Notamacropus eugenii: one gene and its partner. Each later gene encodes a partner of the first gene's protein in a complex. Links are inferred from orthologs where the notes say so. Each region holds a gene or a part of one and is shown in the gene's direction. Other genes may lie near its edges.

The links.
Region 2: the proteins of UBE2I (region 1) and SUMO1 are in contact, whole or in part, in a cryo-EM structure (PDB 9B62), measured with the Homo sapiens proteins. The link is inferred for Notamacropus eugenii from reciprocal best matches to the Homo sapiens genes UBE2I and SUMO1. Residues at the interface, in NP_003336.1 of Homo sapiens: Asp19, Lys48, Asn85, Cys93, Leu94, Ser95, Arg104, Lys110, Gln111, Leu114, Gly115, Glu118, Leu119, Glu122, Asn124, Asp127, Pro128, Ala129; in NP_001005781.1 of Homo sapiens: Gln29, Asp30, Ser31, Gln55, Gly56, Val57, Arg63, Tyr91, Gln92, Glu93, Thr95, Gly96, Gly97.

The regions. Positions count from the first base shown.
Region 1 is NC_092872.1:49,690,726-49,700,940, reverse strand, and holds the start of UBE2I (SUMO-conjugating enzyme UBC9), read left to right. Parts: upstream 1-5,956; 5' UTR 5,957-6,186; intron 6,187-6,449; exon of another isoform or gene 6,450-6,657; intron 6,658-9,716; exon of another isoform or gene 9,717-9,771; intron 9,772-10,215. UniProt on the Homo sapiens protein: Accepts the ubiquitin-like proteins SUMO1, SUMO2, SUMO3, SUMO4 and SUMO1P1/SUMO5 from the UBLE1A-UBLE1B E1 complex and catalyzes their covalent attachment to other proteins with the help of an E3 ligase such as RANBP2, CBX4 and ZNF451.
Region 2 is NC_092877.1:298,544,197-298,554,726, reverse strand, and holds the start of SUMO1 (small ubiquitin-related modifier 1), read left to right. Parts: upstream 1-5,364; 5' UTR 5,365-5,708; coding exon 5,709-5,720; intron 5,721-10,530. UniProt on the Homo sapiens protein: Ubiquitin-like protein that can be covalently attached to proteins as a monomer or a lysine-linked polymer.

The DNA.
Region 1 (10,215 bases):
TATGATGTATGAATGTAATGGAATACTAGTATGCTATAAGAAATGATGAACAGGCAGACTTCAGAAGATTCTGGAAAGACCTATATGAACTGATGCTGAGTGAAGTGAGCAGAACCAGGAAAACATTGTTCACAGAAACAGCTACAGTGTGTGATGACTGATTATGATAGACTTCTCAGAAATGCAAGGACCTAAAACAATTCCAAAGGACTCACGATGGAAAATGCCAACCACATCCAGAGAAAGAACTATGATGTTAGAACGCAGAGGGAAGCAGACTATTTTCTTTTTTATTTTAGTTTATTTTTTTCTCTCACAATTTCTCCCATTCATTATAATTCTTCTATGCAACATGACTAATGTGAAAATGTGTTTAATAGGAATGTATGTATAGACCCCCTATCAGATTGTATGCCATCTTGGGGAGGTAGGAGGAGAAAATTTAAAACTTATAGAAGTGAATGTTGAAAACCGAAAATAATTTGAAAACTGTAAAAAAAAAAAAAGTCACTTTGATAGCTGTGTGTTAGATGGATTGGAGTGGGGAGAGGTTTAAGGTAGGGAGAACAATTAGGTGGTTATTGAAACAGCCAGATGAAAAGTCACAAAGTTATACTCAGGAAAGGTATAGAGATAGAAATGGCAAGATTTGGCAACTAAATGAATGTCAGTGACAGGAAGGAGTGAATGATGACCCCAAGTTTGTAAGCCTGGGGACTGCAAGGAAGGTAATGTCCTCAGCATACAAAGGGAAGGTGAAGAGTTCTGTTTTGGATGGGTTGAGTCTAAGGGTCATCTGATTAGAGATGTCCAAAAGGCAACTAGTGATGTAGGATTGGAACCAATAGAGCTTAGGCAAAAAGCTGTCCTGGAGGAGAGGTAGCAGGTATTCAGCAAGTCAGAATATGGCCATCACCTCAGCCATCAAATTCCCTTGGATCCCAGTGGAAACAGCCCAGAACCCATAGTCCATGAGTCCTAGGAACAGTGGCCCTTGACCACTTTTCTTGCTTCCAGCTAAGCTGAACATCTCAACCACTGCTGAAATACAATAGCCTCTAAAGACTCAAAAAAGAAAGTTCTTGTCACCAAGTCCAAAGCCCTGGCCAATGGTTCAATTTCAGAAACAGTTATGATTTTATCAACAGAAAGGACATCAAAGGATATTACATTACCGCCCGCTTCACTTCTGCACTTCAAGGACACCTGTGCCTTTCTACTTGATTTCAATCTGAAACTTCTTTTAGAGAAAAGATTATACCCCCAGAACTTTTTAGAGTGTTTTGCTGAAGCAGGCATAGTCATTCATTCAAATAGTTGAAGGACAACTATGGGGAAGAGAGGTTGGACTTGTTCTACTTGCCTCTGGATGGTTGACCTAGAAGCCAAGAGCAGAAGTTATAGAGGCAGGTCTTGACTCAGCATAAGAATTAATTTCCCAAACAGTCTGAGCTATCTAAAAGTGGGTTGCCTTGAGGCGATGGAGGTGGGACTAATTAGTTTCTTGTTTCTGTAGGTGTTTGGAGGGTGAATGACTACTTCCTTGGGATGTTATAATTTGGATTCATGGGCCAGATACTGGTTGCATTACTGTAGATGGCCTATGTGGTCCCTTTCAACTTGAAATATTGTTCCAGGATTCTGGGAAATAGCTATAGTACACAAGAGACCATGTCCTATATTGACTTTGCATGTATTTTGTAATTCACTTATCTGTGTACATAGTATTCACTTTCCCACAAGAGAACTCAAGTTTCTCCAAGGCAGGACAGTTTTGTTTCCTGTTTTTGTTTCCCCAGCATCCTGTCTATCACAAAGTGAGTGCTGAATAAGTGCTTGTGGAATGAAGACAGACTTATTTTTAAGGTATGAACAGGGAAGGATCACTTGTGAAACCACGAGGAAGGTGGAAGCAACAAGGTGGTGCAGTGGATAGAGCACTAGGCCTGGAGTCAGGAAGATTGGAGTTTAAATGCAGCCTCAGAGAAGTGCTGGATGTATGCCACTGGCAAGTCATATAACCTCTATTTGCCTCAGTTTCCTCATCTGTAAAATGGAAATAATAATAGCACCTACCTCCCAGGGTTGTTGTGAGTCTCAAATGAGATACTAAAAGTGCTTACCACAGGAGCTATATAAAAGCCAGCCATTATTATAAGTCACTTATTCTTGCTAAGTAAGAGATGTATAAGGGCAGAGGAGTAGCCCAGATTCAAAGTGAACTCATCAAATATTTATTAAGCCATCCACACAACATGCTGGGAACACAAAGACATAGGTCAATCTGACATGGCCCATACTTAGGACTCACCCTCTCAAATCCCACTCAGACTAGTAGGCTGGGTCCCTACATCTCCTCTCAAGTTTTAGGAGGCAATGCTGAGGGGCCAGGAATCACTTTCTAGTCTTATTGTCATGCTTCTACCTGGGCTGTTCAGGGAGGACTAGCACTTCTGGTGGGAGGGCTTACCAAATCCATTTCAGGGCTGCTCAACCTACCTGTAGCTCCAACATGGTGCCACATGTGGAGTGGCCACACCCCAGTAAGACTCTCTTAGCAGATGGGCTAAATTAGGTTGAGAGTAACCAACAGGCCCCAAACCCATTGATGGGTTAGGAGGATTTCCACCCAAAGCATGTGAAGACTTACTCAAGTGGAATGGGCAGATGAGAACAATTTGTTCCAACAACCGTGAAGGTAGATGAAGCAGGCATTGTAGAGCCCTTAGAGCTTGGTAAGACAATGAATACACCAAGGTCCCCTACTGCATCCCAGGTCATTACCAGCTGTCCTGACTTTTGTCCTCCCACAGGACTTCAATGACTCTGGAAGAAGATGGTGAGGCTGGGGACTTTGTTGAATGTTGCCTCACTTAAATTCAGTTCATTCATAAGTCAAGATATCACTTGTGATGTCATTAATCCTCTTCCAAAATGAAGGACAAACAAAACATCACTGATTGTTGATTTCATTAGCTTGTAGAAATAGATGGTTTACTAAGATGGTATTAGAACAGTTACTATAAAACACCCCATGTCACCTCACACCAGAGGTATACTCCCACACAGTAAATCCAGAGTCCAGAGGAAAGTGGACTTAACCTTAGAGAATACATGTGGCAATGAGTTAACTCACAGCTCTTGAAGATCAGAAGACCTTTTCTCCCATTTGTAGAGTCCTCTGAAGGAGGAGCAGTTTTCTGCTGGGCTCCTCATAAAGTCAAGAAACTCTTTTCCTAAAGTCTAGTTTGTCCTCAATTCCCGAAGAAAATGCTAACAGCAACTGTGATACCAGGAACACTGGTAGAATACAAGAGAATTTTATATCCTCCAACCCTCTGAAGTTCAAAAAGAGATGGAAAGAGAAAGAGGCCTTTCTCTTCCTAGACAAGTAATTCCCTCCTAGGGACTTAGCTGGAACTCCTCGGACCCCCGAGCTGGCCTGTTACTCAAATCCCAGCTGAAATTCCAACTGACTTGTTATTTTATACAGACCCACTTGGCTCTTTAACCAATCCCAAATACTTTCTGTTCCTCATCATTTGATCTCAGTCAATGACTTCCACTCCTTCCAAACCGTTTAAGCATTTTGTGCACCTACTTTAACAGTTCTGGTTGATTGACTCAATAGAAGTGTTCTAAGAGAGGTAAGGTAATTCCTTAAAGTGGGATGGGGTGACTGATGCAAACATTTAACATCCCAATGCCTTGTGATGGTAGAGTTAGGATCTAGAAGGGACCAAGGCTCTGAGAACTCATAAAGTCTCCAAGAAAAAGCCAAAGTCCTAAGGATTTTCCCTAGCCTCATTACTGGGAATAGAAAGAGCCCTCTCTTTCTAAAAGAGCTGTATCTTAAGCCTTTAAGGTAAAAGGAGAGCCAGCTGTGCTAATTCTTTAAGAGGTGCATCTTAGCACCTCTAGGCACCAGCTGCAGCCAAAAGCTGAAATCAATCAGTAACTAGGCATATACTAAGAACTATTTAGAGCCTATATAAACCATAAACTCATTTCCAATGAACCCAGTTGTGGTAGAAGTTACAAAATAATCAGAAAAGTCAAGTGGTAGGAATGCCTAACAGCAGAGACTACACATCATGCCCAGAAAACCCACCAAAGCCTATACACTTGGCAGAGACCAAATGCCTCAGGATGTCAGTTGAAAGGAGGCCCAGCAAGAGCAGTGCTATAACAGTACCAGAGAACATCATTATTAGGTCAAAACTGTAAGTCTGTCCTGTGTGTCCACTGGCCTACATGTCTACCCTTCCCAATATCTATCTGTGGATGTGTCTGCATTAGATTTATGGGGGAAATGTTTTATTACTTTTCTTTCCATGCAATTTCATTAAATGCCTTTGCTTTGAATTAGTTGTATGACTGATAAGTAAACACATCATCGAGGGCATGTGAGTTTTGATCTCTGCATCTGAAGCGATACAGAGCACCTTGGAGGTGGGATACCATGTTTGGCAGGACCTTCTTAAGAGTTGAGAGGCATTGCCAGGTGATACACAGAGGCAGAAAATGAAACCATTCCTGACCTCAATTAGTGTACAATCTACTTGAGAGGAAGCTGTTGTTATCCAGTTGTGCAAGCCTCTCTGTGACTCCACTGGGAGTTTTCTTGGCAAAAAAATTGCAGTGGTTTGCCATTTCCTTCTCCCACTCATTTGACAGGTGAGGAAACTGCAGTACACAAGGTTAAGTGGTTTGTCTACGGCCACATGGCTACTCAGTGTCCAAGGCCAGATCTGAACTCAGCAAGAAGAGTCTTCCTAGCTCAAGGACCAGCAGTCTATGCACTATGCCACCTAGCTGCCTTAGGGAAGGAGGCTTTGTGTCCACAAATAAGATACAAAATAAAACAGCACAAGAGCAAAGGAATAACTCCAGTTGAACTAATCTACGAAAATTTGGGGTGGATCAGAAAAGGCTTCAAGGAAGAGGTGGCCCCTGGGCTGAAGGAATGGATTTTGCCAAATGAAGAAATAAAATATATCCCAGTTATAGAGGAACAGCCCACGCTCATCCACAGCTGAAATTGCATCATGGACAGTGGTGTGTTTTATTGTATAGGCAACAGGGAGCCACCCATGTGTAAAATTACCTCTAAGGTTCTTTCCATTCTAAAGGTATATCACTTCCAAATTGGGGCATCAGAGGAAGACTTCTTGGAGAATGCATGAGAGCTGGGTCTGGGAGGTGGCACGAGAAAGGTATTGCTAAGGTCTCTTCCGATCTCTTGGGACAGACTTAAGCAGCTTCTCCTAGATGCTGATGGACGTCACCTTTTCGGCCCCCTCCATGGAACGTCCCCAGCTCAGCCTTTCTAATCTAGCAAACACAGAGACCCATGGGTAAGGCCGGAGATGACCTTGGGAATGGGGGGGTCTGAATTCGAATGCCTCAATGACCTTGGCCCAGCGCCCGGCCTCTCTGGGCCCGGGGGCCCCGCCGTCCAGGAGAAGGGATGCCTTCCAAGCTCCCTGGCAGCTTCCAGGGCTACGAGTCTACATTCGGAGGACCCCGGGGCGGGTAGTGGGAGGAGGCCATGCCCGAGCCTCGCCGGAAGCTCGGCCTGGTTGGGCCCGGGCCAAGCCGGGGCTCTCGAAGTCTCCCCCCGCCCCCGCCTGCTCTGGACCCAAGCGAAGGAAAGTCTACACTACATACGGGAGGGAGGGCCTCGAGTTAGGCCGAAGGAGGGAGGCCTTTCGAGGATCGCCCACTAAATTCCTCCCCCGCCCTGGCTCCGGGTCCTTCGCTCTCGCCCCTCCCCCACACTGTAGCCTGCCCCTCCCCCATTCCTCTCTGGCCCCCGCTGTCACTTAGGGACCGTCTACAATTCTACTTCCGTCTATCCGGCAGGATCCGGAGTTTTGTACCGATCCCTCTCATTGGTTGAATATGAGGTAAGCCCCGCCCATTTCTCAGAAGTGACCAATCCGGAAGGGTTTCAGAGGTCTCTGTGCTTGTGGGGATCATCTGGACACTGAGATGCTCGGGTTGATCTGTAGGCCTCAGTGGATTTTTCCCCAAGATTCTTGGTTCTATCTGACTAGGGGACCTCGGGGATTGGAAGCCTTGGGGTCTCCCTCCGAGCATCCGAAGAGCCATTGGGATTTCCTGCGTCCCCTTTTCTGTATTCCTTCAACGCGTATCTTCAGATGAACGAACTCATTCCGAAAGGTAGTTTGCAGATGATCCCTAGTATTAGGGTCGCGGCTCCTTTAAGTGTACAGGTAGCTAAGTCCCTGCCTGTGGAAGAAATTACTCCTCGGGGGTCCCTACGCCCGAAGTTCGTACCCCGTCGTGCTCCCTGGGGAGGCGAACCCGCCTAGCCAGTGGGGCCGGAGGGACTTAGAAGGCACGGGCGAGAAGGGGTGGGGGAAGGGGAGCCGCAGCAGCGGCGGGGGTGGAGGCGGCGGCAGCGCGCGGGCGCAGGCGGGCGGCGGGGCAGCCCGCGGCTTCCTCCCCCTCCCCCCGCCCCGCCCCGCGCCGCGCCGCGCCGGGGTCCTGCCGTCTTGGGTCCGGCTGCGCGCGGAGCGGGCTCCGGAGGGAAAGTCCCGAGACAAAGGGAAACGCCGCCGTAGCCACCGACCATCCGGGCACCTTCCGCCTCTATCCGGGACACTTGCCGGGGGCCGCGGCCGTGCTGAGGTGAGGCTAGCCCCTCTGGGCCGGGCCGGGCAGAGCTGGGCCCGGCGGCAGCGGCAGTAGCAGCGCCGCTCTCCTCCTCCCTCCTGGCGAGGCCCGGCCCGGCCCCGCTCCCTCCTCTTCTCCCGAGGCTGCAGCCATCGGGCCGTACCCGGTCTGGGAAATGGAGCGAGGCTTCCGGGCCCGGAGACCGGCTGGGAGCTGGGACGCTTCCCTCCCTGGGGACTGGGCCGGGCCGCTCCGGCGAATCTGTCCTCCCCGAGGAGGCTAGGGTGGGGGTGGGGGGGCAGTCTGGCCTCGGCCGCCAGCTGCTGTCCTCCATCCCTCCCTCCTGGGACTCTCTGAGGCCCCCGACGGGCCACTCAAAGTAGGTAGACGTGGAGGAGGAGTCATCCAAGCCGAGAGGTCTCGGACAGAAGAGACCCAAGAGCTCGTCTTGTTCGAGGCTCCTCTTCTGTAGAGAGAAACTGAGGCTTAGGGAGGCGAAAGGGACTGGCCCAAGGTCACACGTCGAGATGGAGTCGCCTCCCTCCTTCGGCTGCCTGATTGTTCGCATTAAGTCCTGTTAGTAGAGAGATGGAGGGATTTGGGGGAGCTGAGAAAGGGGTACGTAAAAATAGCGCAGAGAGCTGTCCTGGGAATGTGGTGGCTTTCTTAAAAACAGTATTCCAAGGCTGCTCACATGTTCCACCCTGTCTCTCCAAACCCCCCTCCCCCATGGCATCTTTTCCCAACAATTTTGAATGATCAGACTTCTAGGTTGTGTGCACTGCTGAGGAACTTAAAGGCCCCTGGAATTGAGTTTTTCTCTAAGTACGGACCCAGTTATCCGGTGTTACGGTAGTAGCACAGCAACCAAAATAATACCCACGTGAAACTTCAGTGAGAGGCTGATGGGATGAGTGAATTATAGTCCAAAATTCCCTGTGATCTTACTGAAGTAACTTTAAAAATGATCTAGAGGTAGAGAAAAACTCAATTGGGTTATTTAGCTTCTCAGTGATAGTAGGGTCATTTTGACTGCTCCCACTTTTGCCCCACCTCCGAAAAAAAAAAGTAACAATCCATCAGGTCTTTGAAAGGGACACACAGCCAAAATGGGATTGGTTGGATTAAGAGAACGTGGGATACTCATTTTTTTTTATTTTTTTTCCCCGTATTCTTGTAATCTCTGGGCTTGATTTTATTGTTAACAGCTCTTGGGTTTGCTAGATAAGACTTGCCTGATAGAGAGCCGAAATTGACAGAAGTTAGTAAGAGGGAAAACTGGATTGCCCTTTCTTTTATCCTTTCATAGTAGAATCTATATACATCTTCTTACCCCCTACATACTCATGCTTTTTTGAAATCTTCTCTACCTTTATTCTTGAATTCTCTTCACTTTTTAAAGAAAAATATCCATTCCCTCTTGCATTTTTGGCAGTGTTTCAGAGATGCCTTGTCCCTTTAGGAAGAGTGAAAGGACAGTCCAATTTTCAGTTGTGAGAGGGGAAGACAAAGTTGGCAAGAACACAAAATGTACCATAAGTCCAACAAAAAAGACTTTTTTACAATTATTTCTTTGGTTGTTAGGCCCAGTTAGCAATCTTAAACATACAGAAAATTTGAACAGACAAAGAAATGACTGTCAGTCATTTTTTGGTTTTAGTGGCTTAAAATCAAAGCAACATTGCTAATACCAAAGGTTTTCCTGGAGTGTACTAATTCCAGATGATGGGACGCATTAAAATTTTTTTTAATGTTTTTGTTTTTCACTGTCACAGTTAATAGTGTTGTTATTATGGGGATGATTAGAATAAAGTTGCATTTAAAATAAAGTGAAATTAGAAATTCAGCTCCATAATTTAAACTTTTTTTTTAAACTTAAACTTTTTCTAGACTTAAAAGGAATGGTGGTTTAAAAACATCTTAAATGTCTCATTAATAGGGAAAATGCTGTTAGAATCTGATGTCAAGAGGGACTTTTCTAGGATTTAGATAAATTTTGGATTCATTACAAATTTATTGTGGTTCCATTACAAAAATAGATCACATCCCAGAGTCTTGAATGGTTAGGAGATAGATACTTTAGAGTGGTTTCAGTTTCTAGTTCTGAATTGTTAAACAGATGTGCCAGAACTTTGTTTCACTAAGTGATGGATCTCTTAGTTTCTGTTATGTACCTGAGGGTTATAGAAGGTGTAATGGGAATATGAAGCATTTTAAGTGTGATTCAGTCTATCATGTAAGGATCAAGCCATTATCAAAGGGATTGTAAGGAAGAAATAAAATTGCAGTATTTCAGTTTAACTCTGTGCTTAAGAGCATTTTTACCTTGTCTCTGAACACTTGATAAAGTTATTGCTATTTCTTCATGACTTAATTTTTCTGCTTTTAAACTAGTAGGAACACTTGATTATTCCATTAAGTGCTTAGTTTCTGAAGTTAGACCAATTTTAAAGTGGGATCTGGTTATGTATACTGTAAGGTAACATCTAACTTTCCCCCTGATTAATTTTTCTGCTTTTAAACTAGTAGGAACACTTGATTATTCCATTAAGTGCTTAGTTTCTGAAGTTAGACCAATTTTAAAGTGGGATCTGGTTATGTATACTGTAAGGTAACATCTAACTTTCCCCCTGATAAACAGAGAATCCTAGAATTGGAAGGGACTTTGCAGTTTTTACAGGTGTACATTTAAGCTCTCTTTAATAGCATTTCTAAAAAAGTAGGAAGCATTTCTGTCTAGAACCTAACTAGATACACTAAAGGAGAACAGGTAATTTAGGCTAAGACTAAGGATTGAAATTGACCTTGAGATTACTTTGTCCCAACAACCCTTTGCCTTCATTCAAGCTATAAATAATTTCAGGAAGAAAAGACATTATATAATTAGATTTTTAAAAATATAGGTAGTTAGGCTTGTGTAATGGAATAAAAAAGTAAGCATTTCTTGCCCTATACACCTGTGGAATCAGAGGCAATTGTAGCTCTTCCATTCTCCTACCTCTCATATAAAAGAATAGACTATGGAGCAGGATGGGCCTTTGGAAATCATCTGATCCAATGCTCTCATTTTACAGATAGCAAAATTGAGACCCTGACTGGTTGAGCGACTGGCTCAAAGTCCTTCACATAGTAAGTTGCAAAGTCTGGACTCAGCTCAGAACCTTTGATTCCAAAAATCATTATTTTTGCCATTTTCCTTTTCTTCATAATTATATTTTATGCTTGCTTGTAAGCATTGCTTATTCCTTTTGATAGTACTCAAAGCTATAAAGGTTTGACCTCTACACAACTAGATAGAACAGTGGTCTAAGAATCAAAAGATCTGTTTTGATTTAAAGCTCTTGCTGGATGACCTTGAACATCACATCACTTCAATCTTTCTATATTTTGTTTCTTTGAACTGACTGTGTTGGGTTTTTTTTTTCCTCCCTCATCCCCTAGGGATGTTATAAGGATCAGATGAATTTTTCTAAGTTTATTGAGCACGCTGAGCTCCTGCAGCACTTTATAGATTAAGGTGGTTGAGGATTATTATTAAAACAGATGTAATCGAGTTTGAGGTTTTGTTTTATT
Region 2 (10,530 bases), on another chromosome or scaffold:
TTAAAAAGAAAACTTCTTTGTCCTCTTTTTCTCCCTAACTTATAGTTTGTGTGATTTGCATTGAACAATCAGTTCACAAAATCAACGTATTTTTGAACTGAAAATGTTCATAGAATTGAATGCTTATTAAATGTCCCTTTTATTTTATCTTTAAAATGATTTTAATTAAGGTCTTAGAAGGAGATTATCTTGAGATTTACTAATTTTTGGTTTATTACTAGATAAGTGGTTATTTTCCCTTACTCAGAATTTGTACCTGTTTAATTGTTGTTCCATCTCTAAACAGAATCAACGTAGAGACTAGAAAACCACATGAGAACCTGGACATAGTATTGTTTGTTTCACTACAGAGCAAAGCTCAATATAACATCTTTTAATCTGCCAACGTTTTGTCTTTTTCTCCTCTTTTCTACTGCTTTTAGTGTACCATATCATTCATGGATATTTCTTAAATTTCATTTGGGGGCAGAAGAGCTACTCTGGTCTTGAAGATACAATTTTAATTACCTAATCATTTCTTTATCAGTGCATAGGGTGCTAAACCAGGAGTTGGCCTGGGAAAATCTGTTACCTTGATCCTTTAAATTTTTTTTTTCTTTTTTAAAAAATTATTTATTTGTTTTCAATTTTCTTTTTCTTTTTTTTAAACATTGATTTAAGTTTTATTTGCCAATAAATTAAAGTATATTCATGTTTTATTCTTTTGGACACTTTTAAAATTCAAAGTCCCTAAGAAAAGGGCTCAGCTTCCCATTTAATCTTCAGATTCAGAACCTTCCTCATCTTGACTAATCTGGAAATAATGAAGTTTGTAAGTCTCCTTGTCAGATGCAACCACATGAAGCCAATCACGAAGATTGTACTTCTAAAGATATTTGTTGGTAAGATATTTTAAGTATCGTTTAGAAAATTGCTTCTCAGACACAATGGTGATCTTATTCTTGAAGCGTTCAATATGAACAACATTCCCTAGGTTCCCCGTTTTTCCATTGACTAACTTTCTCTTTCAAGAATTGCTCAAAATTTCCAGAATCAAAGATTCCATCTTTAACTGGATGAGTAAGGTCAAGGTTAAACTTCCAAGTTGATCTCTTAACCTTTTTATCTTTTGGCAGCGCCATCTTAGACATGCCCGTCATGAGAAATGCTTGTTTTCAATTTTCAACAATCACTTCCATAAGTTTTAAATTTTTTCCCCTCCCTCTCTTTTCTTTTCCCAAGATAACATGCAATCTTATATCAGCTCTACACATACATTCTTATTATGCACATTTTCACATTAGTCATGTTGCATAAAGAATGAAAATAAATGGGAGAAACCATGAGAAAAACATAACCTAACAAAAGAGAAAATAGTCTGCTTTATTTTACATTCTGACTCCATAGTTCTTTCTCTGGATATGGATGGCATTTTGCATCATGAGTCCTTTGGAAATGTTTTAGGTCCTTGCCTTGCTGTGGAGGACTAAGTCTATCAAAAACAGTCCTTTATCAAAAACAGTCCTCATACACTGTGGCTGTTACTGTGTATAATGTTCTCCTGGTTCTGCTCACTTTACTGAGCATCAGTTCACAAAAATCTATCCAGGTATTTCTGAAGTTTGTCCATTCATCATTTCTTTTTTAAAAATTTAATTAATTTATTTGTTTTCAGTTTTCAACAATCACTTCCATAAGTCTTAAATTTTCTCCCCTTCCCTCTCCCCCTCCTCCCTGAGACGGCATGCAGTCTTATATGGGTTCTACACAAACATTCTTATTAAACACTTTTCACATTAGTTATGTTGCACAGAAGAATTAAAACAAATGGGAGAAACCATGAAAAACAAAACATAACACAAGAGAAAAGAGGCTCCTTCATTCTGTATTCTGATTCCATAGTTTTTTCTCTGGCTGTGGATGGCATTTTTGCCTCAGGAGTCTTTTGAGGATGTTTTAGGTCCTTGCATTGTTGTTTAGGCTTAAGGGTTTAAGGGCTTAGTTTATCAGAAACAGTCTTGTCACACTGTGGCTGTTACTGTGTATAATGTTCTGGTTCTGCTCATTTCACTCAGCATCAGTTCATATAAGTCTTTCCAGGTTTTTCTGAAGCTCAACTGTTCTTCATTTTTTATAGTGCAATAGTATTCCATTATATTCATATACCACAACTAGTTCAGCCATTCCCCAATTGATGGGCATTCCCTCGATTTTCAGGCCACCACAAAAAGAGCTGCTATAAATATTTTTGTACATGTGGGACCTTTCCTCATTTTTATGATCTCGGGATACAGACCTAGAAGTGATATTGCTGGGTCAAATGGTATGTACATTTTTGTAGCCCTTTGGGCATAGTTCCAAATTGCTCTTCAGAGTGGTTGAATCAGTTCACAGCTCCACCAACAATGAATTCGTGTTCCAACTCTCCCACATCTTCTCCAACATTTATCATCTTCCTATTTTGTCATATTTAGCCAATCTGATAGGTGTGATGTGGTACCTCAGAGTTGTTTTGATTCTCATCTCTTTAATCAATAGGGATTTAGAGCACTTTTCATATGACTATAGATAGCTTTAACTTCTTCCTCTGAAAACTGCCTGTTCATATCCTTTGACCATTTATCAGTTAGGAAATCACTTGTATTCTTGTAATTTGACTCAGTTCTCTATATATTTTAGAATTAAGGCCTTTACCTCAGACACTAGTTGTAAAAATTCTTTCCTAGTTGTCTGCTTCCCTGCTAATTTTGGTTGCATTGGGTTTGCTTGTGCAAAAACTTTTCAATTTAATGTAATCACAATTATCCATTTTGCACTTCATAATGTTCTCAGTCTCTTGTCATAAATTTCTCCATTCTCCATAAATCTGACAAATCTACTATCCCTTGTGTTCCTAATTTGTTTATAGTATCAGCCTTTATACCTAGATCATGTACCCATTTGAACTTTATTCTTGTACACGGTGTCAGGCATTGGTCTATGCCCAGTTTCTGCCACACTATTTTCTAGTTTTTCCGGCAGTTTTTGTCAAACAGTGAATTCTTATCCCAGAAGCTGGTGTCCCTGGGTTTATGAAACAGTAGACTGTGATAGTTATTGACTACTGTGTTACGTGTGCCCACCTATTCCACTGATCTACCTTTCTATTTCTTAGCCAGTACTAAGTGGTTTTGATGATTGCTGCTTTATAATACAATTTAAGATCTGGTATGTCTAGGCCACCTTCCCTAGCATTTCTTCTCATTAATTCCCTTGATATTCTGGACCTTTTATTCTTCCAGATGGATTGATATTATTTTTTCTAGATCTATAAAATAGTTTTTTGGTAGTTTGATTGGTATGGCACTGAATAAGTAAATTAATTTAGGTAGAATTGTCATTTTTATTATATTAGCTCAGCTTACCCAGGAGCCACTGATGTTTTTCCGATTGTTTAGATCTGACTTTATTTGTGTGAAGTGTTTTGTAATTGTGTTCATACAGTCGCAGGGTTTGTTTTGGCTGGTAGACTCTCAAATAAAAATTAAAAAAAAAATTTTATTTTCAGTTCCAAATTTTCTCCTTCCCTGCTATCCCTCCCTCACCAATCGAGAAGGCAACAAATGTGATACCTATTATACATATGAAGTCATACAAAACATTTCTACTGTTAGTCATGTTGTGTGTGGAGGGGGAGCAAGAAAAATTAAGAGGAAAAATATGCTTTAATCTGCAATGAATCCATTAGTTCTGTCTCTGAAGGTGGATAGCAGTTTTCATCATGAGTCCTTTGGTATTGTCATAGATCATTGCACTGAGCAGAGTAGCTAACTTTTACACAATTGATTATTGCTTTTAATTAATATCGTTATTGTGTACAACGGTCTTCTGATTCTGCTTATTTCCTTTTGTATCAGTTGATATGTTTCCTCTTCATAAAATAGTGTCTGAGGCCAGATTTGAGATGAGTTGTCCTGACTCTATCCACTGGGCCACCCAGCTGCCCTAGGCATGTTCTGTCAAATTAGAAAAATTTCCAATCCAAATCTAGGACTAGATAATGCTTTTATCAGAAGACCTACCTCACTAAGGTCCCAGAATGATGTCTCCTAGGTGGTGGATTTCCTCTCTTTCTCCAGAAATTTAGATCATCCTTTAAGAACTGTGATCAGAATGAATAGAGGAAATACTCACAGAGAGATGGTCCTAGGTCCTAAAATAGGATACCTTCACATCTTAATGAATTACTCCTTCCAGGATTATTCTTATTTTGAAAAGAAACTCTTGAAATGTCTCAACCCAACCCTTCCCACTCTTCCGTTTGGAGGAAGGAAAGCAGGAATAGAAGGGAATAGTCTTGTTGCAGTCTGTTCTCATCAGATCTCTCTGGGGATAATGTTTAGTGTTGGAATCACAATTTAATGTCATCGATAAGCTGGAATGGATTGAGATGAGGGCAACCAGTATAGTCAAGGATCATGAATCAATGTCATTTCAGGAGAGGAGCCTCGGGAAAACTCGGGGGGCCCTAAGTACAAAGAAAGGCACCCCACGCACCCCCTGCAAAGGGCATAACCAGGAAGTAAATCTGGACTTGCCAGGAAAAACTCCTCATCGTTAGTGCTACCCAAAAGTGGAATGGGCCACCTTGCCTCTGACGGTCTTCACGCCGAGGCGCTGCCAGGTGCACGGGATGGACCAGATGGCCCTAACCCTCGACCTGCGTGACTCTGAAAGTAGTCTTCCTAACCCGTTCAAAGCTGCTCCTCGGAGGCTCACAGGTGGGGCCGGGGCCTTCTTAGAGAGAAGGAAGGAGCCCCGGCTGGAGACCTGGAGCTCAGAGGCGTTCAAGGTCATCCGGTCCAGGCCTTTCCTTTCATGAAACAAGGAAACTGAGTCCCAGGAAAGGCACGCATGCCTTCCCCAGGCCAGCAACCCCTGCATTTGAACCCGGGGCTCTCGGCCAGCCGAGCGAGCTGGGCTCTGGGCTCCGATCCCAGCACCGGGCGCCATCTCCAGACGTGGTGCCTTTTCCCCGCCAGTGTCCCGTGCCAGCCTTTGCGGATGGCGCTCGAGGCCGGCCTAGCGCCCGGTCTCCGAGCTCCCCTCCGCTCTGCCCCGTACAGCGCGTCTGTGTGTCTCGTTTGCACACGGCGTTAGGCTGAGCGCGCCGAGGGGCGAGGCTGCCTGCGCCGCCTTTGTACACCCTCTCCACTCCCAGCGCCACGCCTGGCGCGTAGCAGGCCCCGGGACGTGCCCGCAGACGGGCCCCCTCGGACGAGCCCCTGCGCTTCTCTGGGCCTCGGCTTCCCCACGTGTAACGGAAGGGAGAGGCGCGGAGCTAGGTCTACAGTCCCACAATGCGGATCTCATCACCCTGCCCCAACGGGCGGCGGGCCGTGGCCTCTCGGGTCAGGGCTCGATGCAGCCGTCCGGCCCGAGCCGCAGGCAAGGACCCGGGCCGCGGCGATCGGGCCCAGCGTGACCTCACCCGGGCCACCCCGCGGGGTCGGTTCGATACACTCCCCCCACACCAAGCCCCTCTTCCCGCTTCTCCCGCCGCCCCCTCTAACTCTTCGCTCCTTTTCTGGGCGGGGAACGGAAGTGACGTCAGGCGCATCGGAAGTCTCTGCCGCCGCGGTGTTGTGCTGTGGGGAAGAGAGGGACAGCTTTAGAAACCCGGGAGAGTGATTCTCGCCCTTCCGAGGCCGGTATCGCGCCGAAACCCCCGGAGAGAAGCAGCCGTCGCCATGTCTGACCAGGTAGGAAGCTTAGGGCAGCGGCTTGACGGGCAGTCGGACGCGGGGCCTGCGATCTCGCGGCCCCTCCGGGCCCGCGGCCGGACCGGGAATGGGGGCGGGGAGGAGAGGGCACAGGAGACAGGGGAGGGGGCGGCGGGCGCGGGGCCGGCGGCCAGCCAGGGTCGGCGTCTGGCACCCGAACGTCCGGGGCCCGGCCTCGCGAAGCCGGAGCCTCCTCGCCCCCTGCGAGAAGTCCGTGCACTTCCCCGTGACCCGGGGCGCCCGAGGCACGTCGGGTCGCCGGCCCCGCGGACCGGGTGTCAGCCAGCCCCGGAGCCGTGCCCATCGCCCTGGCTCAGGCCCCCGGGGAGCGTCCGGGCCCCGCAGAACCCAATCGCGCCTGACGGCGGCCGCGGGCGCCTAGGCCCCGGTTATATAACGGGAGAGGGAGCTCGCCGCGGCGGCCGGCAGGGCCTCGGGGGGTCGGGGGGGGCGGCCTGAGCGCGGATTCCCCTTCGGATGCCGGGGACGCGGCGGCGGCGGGGGCTGCCAGGTCGCCCGGAGCCCGGCAGCGCCGGCTGCAGCCTGGCGCCTGGGCCCGCGACAGGGCCGGGCCCCCGCGTCCGCGCCGAGCTCGGGCTTTTTCTCTCCGGATCCTTTTTCCGGTGGATGGGGTGGATGGGGTGGATGGGGGTGGCGGCGGCTCCCCTTGTTCCGTGAACTTTTCCTGTTTGTACTTCGGAGTGGTTCGGCGTTTCCGCGGACTGGGAGCCCCGGCTCGCCCCCCGCAGCCCTTTCCTAGGCATGGGCCTAGCGATGACTGCTGTTTGCGGCCGCCCCGGAGTAAAACAAAAGGACCGGACCCGAGGAGCTTCCCGCGGCTTTCCCCAGCTCCCACAGTCAGGATGCCCGGGCCAGTGTGTGTGGGCTCGGGGTCCGAGCGGAATCTTTGCGGGGGAGCCTTGCCACCCTTGCCTTGTGTTTGGGGCTGGTTTACAGTGCACTTGGTGAGGTCCGGAGTACTCGATTGATTAATGTCAAATGGAGAAATCGAGAGTCAGGTTGCTTGGATGAAAGAAAACCCTAAGATTTTTCTTTCATTTCAAAACACTGCGGCAGGGTTGGAATTTTAAATTTGGCAAACTTATCCACGTGTCTGTTTATTTGTCAGTTCTGTGCAGCATTGCTTGAGGGGAAATCCATCGGATTTTAGGAAATCGAGACATTTGGAAACATTTTTGTTATAAAAAGCAAGCCGCTATTTAGGTTAGCTCTGGGTGGTACTCAGCACTTTAATAGGCATCTGAATACCATTATAACGTATCTCATTAAATTGTTTATTCAGTTACTAGTTAGAGAATATATGTAAAATATGTTAGCAGTCTTTTGTTTGACATTTAAACATGGGAAATGTGTCAAATTTCTTATGTAGAAGTATTTTTGGGGGATGAATGAAGGAAGCAGACAAGCATTTATTAAGCACCTGCTATGTGCCAGGGGATTTACAAGATTTATGATACTCACAACAACCCTGGGAGGTAAATGCCGTCGTTATCTCTCATTTTACCGTGGAGGAAACTGAACTAAGGCAGACAGGTTAAGTCTCTTGGCCAGGATTACCGAGCTGATAAAAAGTCCTAAGGCCAGTTTCAGTTCAGGTTTTCTGGTTCTAGGTGCAGTGCTTTGTGTGCTGCGACACCTTGCAGCCTCAGAATAGAAAAGAATTGAGAAAATAAAAATTACCGTATCTTATCCAGAATAAAGTAGGCAAGTGTTATGAAATATAGGTAATTCCTTAGAAGCTAGGAGGTAAATTAGTAGTTTGAGATTAGAAATTTGAATTGTCTTCATCAGATAACATTTATTAAAAGACGAAAGATCTGATTTTAAAAAAGTTGAAATACCCTCAGGATTTAAAATCAAGAGCAGGAGCCCTAAAGTTTTCTAGTACAGTACCATTCAGTTTGTAGAATATCGTGCACAGTATCTGTTCAGAAATTCTACATTAAGTCCTGTTGGAAAGGCATATTTTTTAGGAACCTTTCAGTTATTATCAGTCATAATAGGAAAACTAAGGAATAGTTCTTACATTTCTACCTTTAAAATCAGAAAAGTTAAACTTTTTTTTAGTAAATAGTATTTTATTTTTTCCAAGTCCGTGTAAAGATAGTATTCAACATTCATTTTTATAAAGTTTTGAGTTCCAAATTTTTCTCCCTCCCTCTTTCTTTTCCTTTACCCCCTCCCCAAGACTGCAAGCAATCTGATATAGGTTATACATGTGCAGTCATGGCAACATTTCCATATTAGTCATGTTGTGAAAGAAGAAACAGAACAAAAAGGAAAAGCCACAAAAAACAGCAAAGTGAAAATGTGCTTCATTCTGCATTTAGACTCCATATTTCTTTCTCTGAATGTGGGTAGCATTTTCTGTCATGAGTCTTTTGGAATGTCTTGGATCTATTTTATGTTACTGAGAAGAGCTAAGTCAATCATAGTTGATCATCACATGGTATTACTGTTACTGTGTACAATGTCCTGGTTCTGATCACTTCACTCAGCATCAATTCATGTAAGATTTTCCAGGTTTTTCTGAAATCTGCCTGCTCATCATTTCTTGTAACACAATAGTATTCCATTATATTCACATACCACAACTCATTCAGCCATTGCCCAGTGGATGGGCATCCCCTCAATTTCCAATTCTTTGCCACCACAAAAAGAGCTGCTATAAATATTTTTGTGCTTGTTGGACCTTTCCCCCTTTTTATGATCTCTTTGGGCTGCAGACCTGGTGGTGGTGTATTGCTGGATCTACGGGTATGCACAGTTTGATTGCCCTCCAGAATTGGATCAGTTCACTACTCTACCAACAAATTTTTCCCACATCTTCTCCAGCATTTATCATTTTCCTTTTCTCTTGTATTAGCCAGTCTGATAGGTGTGACATGGTACCTCAGAATTGTTTTAATTTACATTTCTGTAATCAGTAGTGATTTGGAGCATTTATTCATATGACTATAGAGAAAAATTAAATTGTTAAAAAAGTTTATTGGGGTAGCTGTCATCACAGAGAGCAAATTACTTGCTTTTGGAGATAAAGTGAAACTCCTTTATATTGGAGATGTTAAGGAAAGCGACTGACACCCATATAGTGTGAATTTAGGAATCTCCAAATGATCACTGGATAATCACTGGGGAAAAAATGCTTTCTGGGTCACTGCATGGAAGAACCATTGTCTGCAATGACTGTAATGACCTTGATTTTTATGCTGTTTTAATTGTATTTTTCCATAAACCATCTGATCCTCCCCAACCTCAGTGTAGGATCATAAACTTGGAACTATGTGAGTACTTAAAGCTTCTCTGTTCTAGCCCCTACCTAATTTTTCAGATGAGGCACTTGAAGTCCAGAGAGGTTCAAAGACTTGCCCAAAGGTCCCAAAGTAGCAAACTGGGATCAGAACAAGTTATCTCCCTCCAGAGCCAGTCTCTTTCCATTATAACATTATACCTCTTAAAAGTCGACTGAAGTCCTCTATTAAAGCAGAACAACACAAAAAGATCTAGAAGTTGTTACATGGAAATGGAATTTTATTTCTTCATCTGTTAAAGGAGGGCTTTTGGACTTTGTCATTTCTAAGGTTCTTTTTCTTTTTTTCAAAAATTATTTTATTTGTTTTCTACAATCACTTCCATATATCTTAGATTTTTCCCCCTCGTTCCCCCTCCTTCCCCGAGACGGCCTGCAATCTTATATGGATTCTACACATACATTCTTATTAAGTACATTTTCACCTTAGTCATATTGCATAGAAGAATTAAAATGAATGGGAGAAACCATAAAACAAAACAGAGCAAAACATAATGCAAGAGAAAATGGTCTGCTTCATTCTGTGATCCAGTTCCATAGTTCTTTCCCTGGATGTGGAAGGCATTTTGCCTCAAGAGTCCATTGGGAATTTTTTAGATCCTTGCATTGCTGTGAAGGGCTAAGTCTACCAGAAAAATTCCTCTTACACTGTGGTTGTTGCTGTGTACAAAGTTCTCCTGGTTCTGCCCCTTTCACTCAGCATCAGTAAGGTTTTTCAATTGTGATGCTTTCTGAACATCCTTGGAAAGATTGAGGCAAGAGTGATTTCAGTACATCACACCCTTCATCCTAAGAGATGCAGACCACTAATTTTCTTTTCCTGTTTGATTACAAAGACGTCCAACATCAACTGTTTTGTTTCATTATTGCTGATGTATTGTTAACAGAGTGACATTGCAACAAAAGGATGTCTGGTGGAATTTGTTATACCAGAATTTTATCTGTGGATGTTACTTTTGGGGTGGAGTATCATTTGATTTGAATCTATTTTTAAGGATTTTCCTTATGTGTCATTAATGTATCTTCCAAAATGAAATTTCTTTCCTCCACAGAAGATTCAGGTATACCATGTAATCATTTTTTTCCCTGTGGGGATAGTAATATTCCTGCCAGTGTTCTTTATAGCTGTCTAATAATTGTTTATGCTACTTATCTTAGTAGGATTAGCTTGAAGTTGGAATGTTGAATTGATTCGTGAATGAAAATTTGCCAGTTATGTTTTGTATGTATAGGAACACAAGTATATCAGAATTTAGCTGTTATTTGAGCATGTAGTTAAGGTAATACTGAAAAATTACATTGTTGAACTCAAAATCTTTATACATAGGCTTCTTTGGGGCAAGGAAAATTTTTCACCTTTTTTCCTGCATGAGGCAAACTCAGGAGTTGCCACTTAGAGCTGCAGGTTGTAATTACAAGCTAGTCTGAAGAAACATCTAGTTAAAGTAGTCATTAATA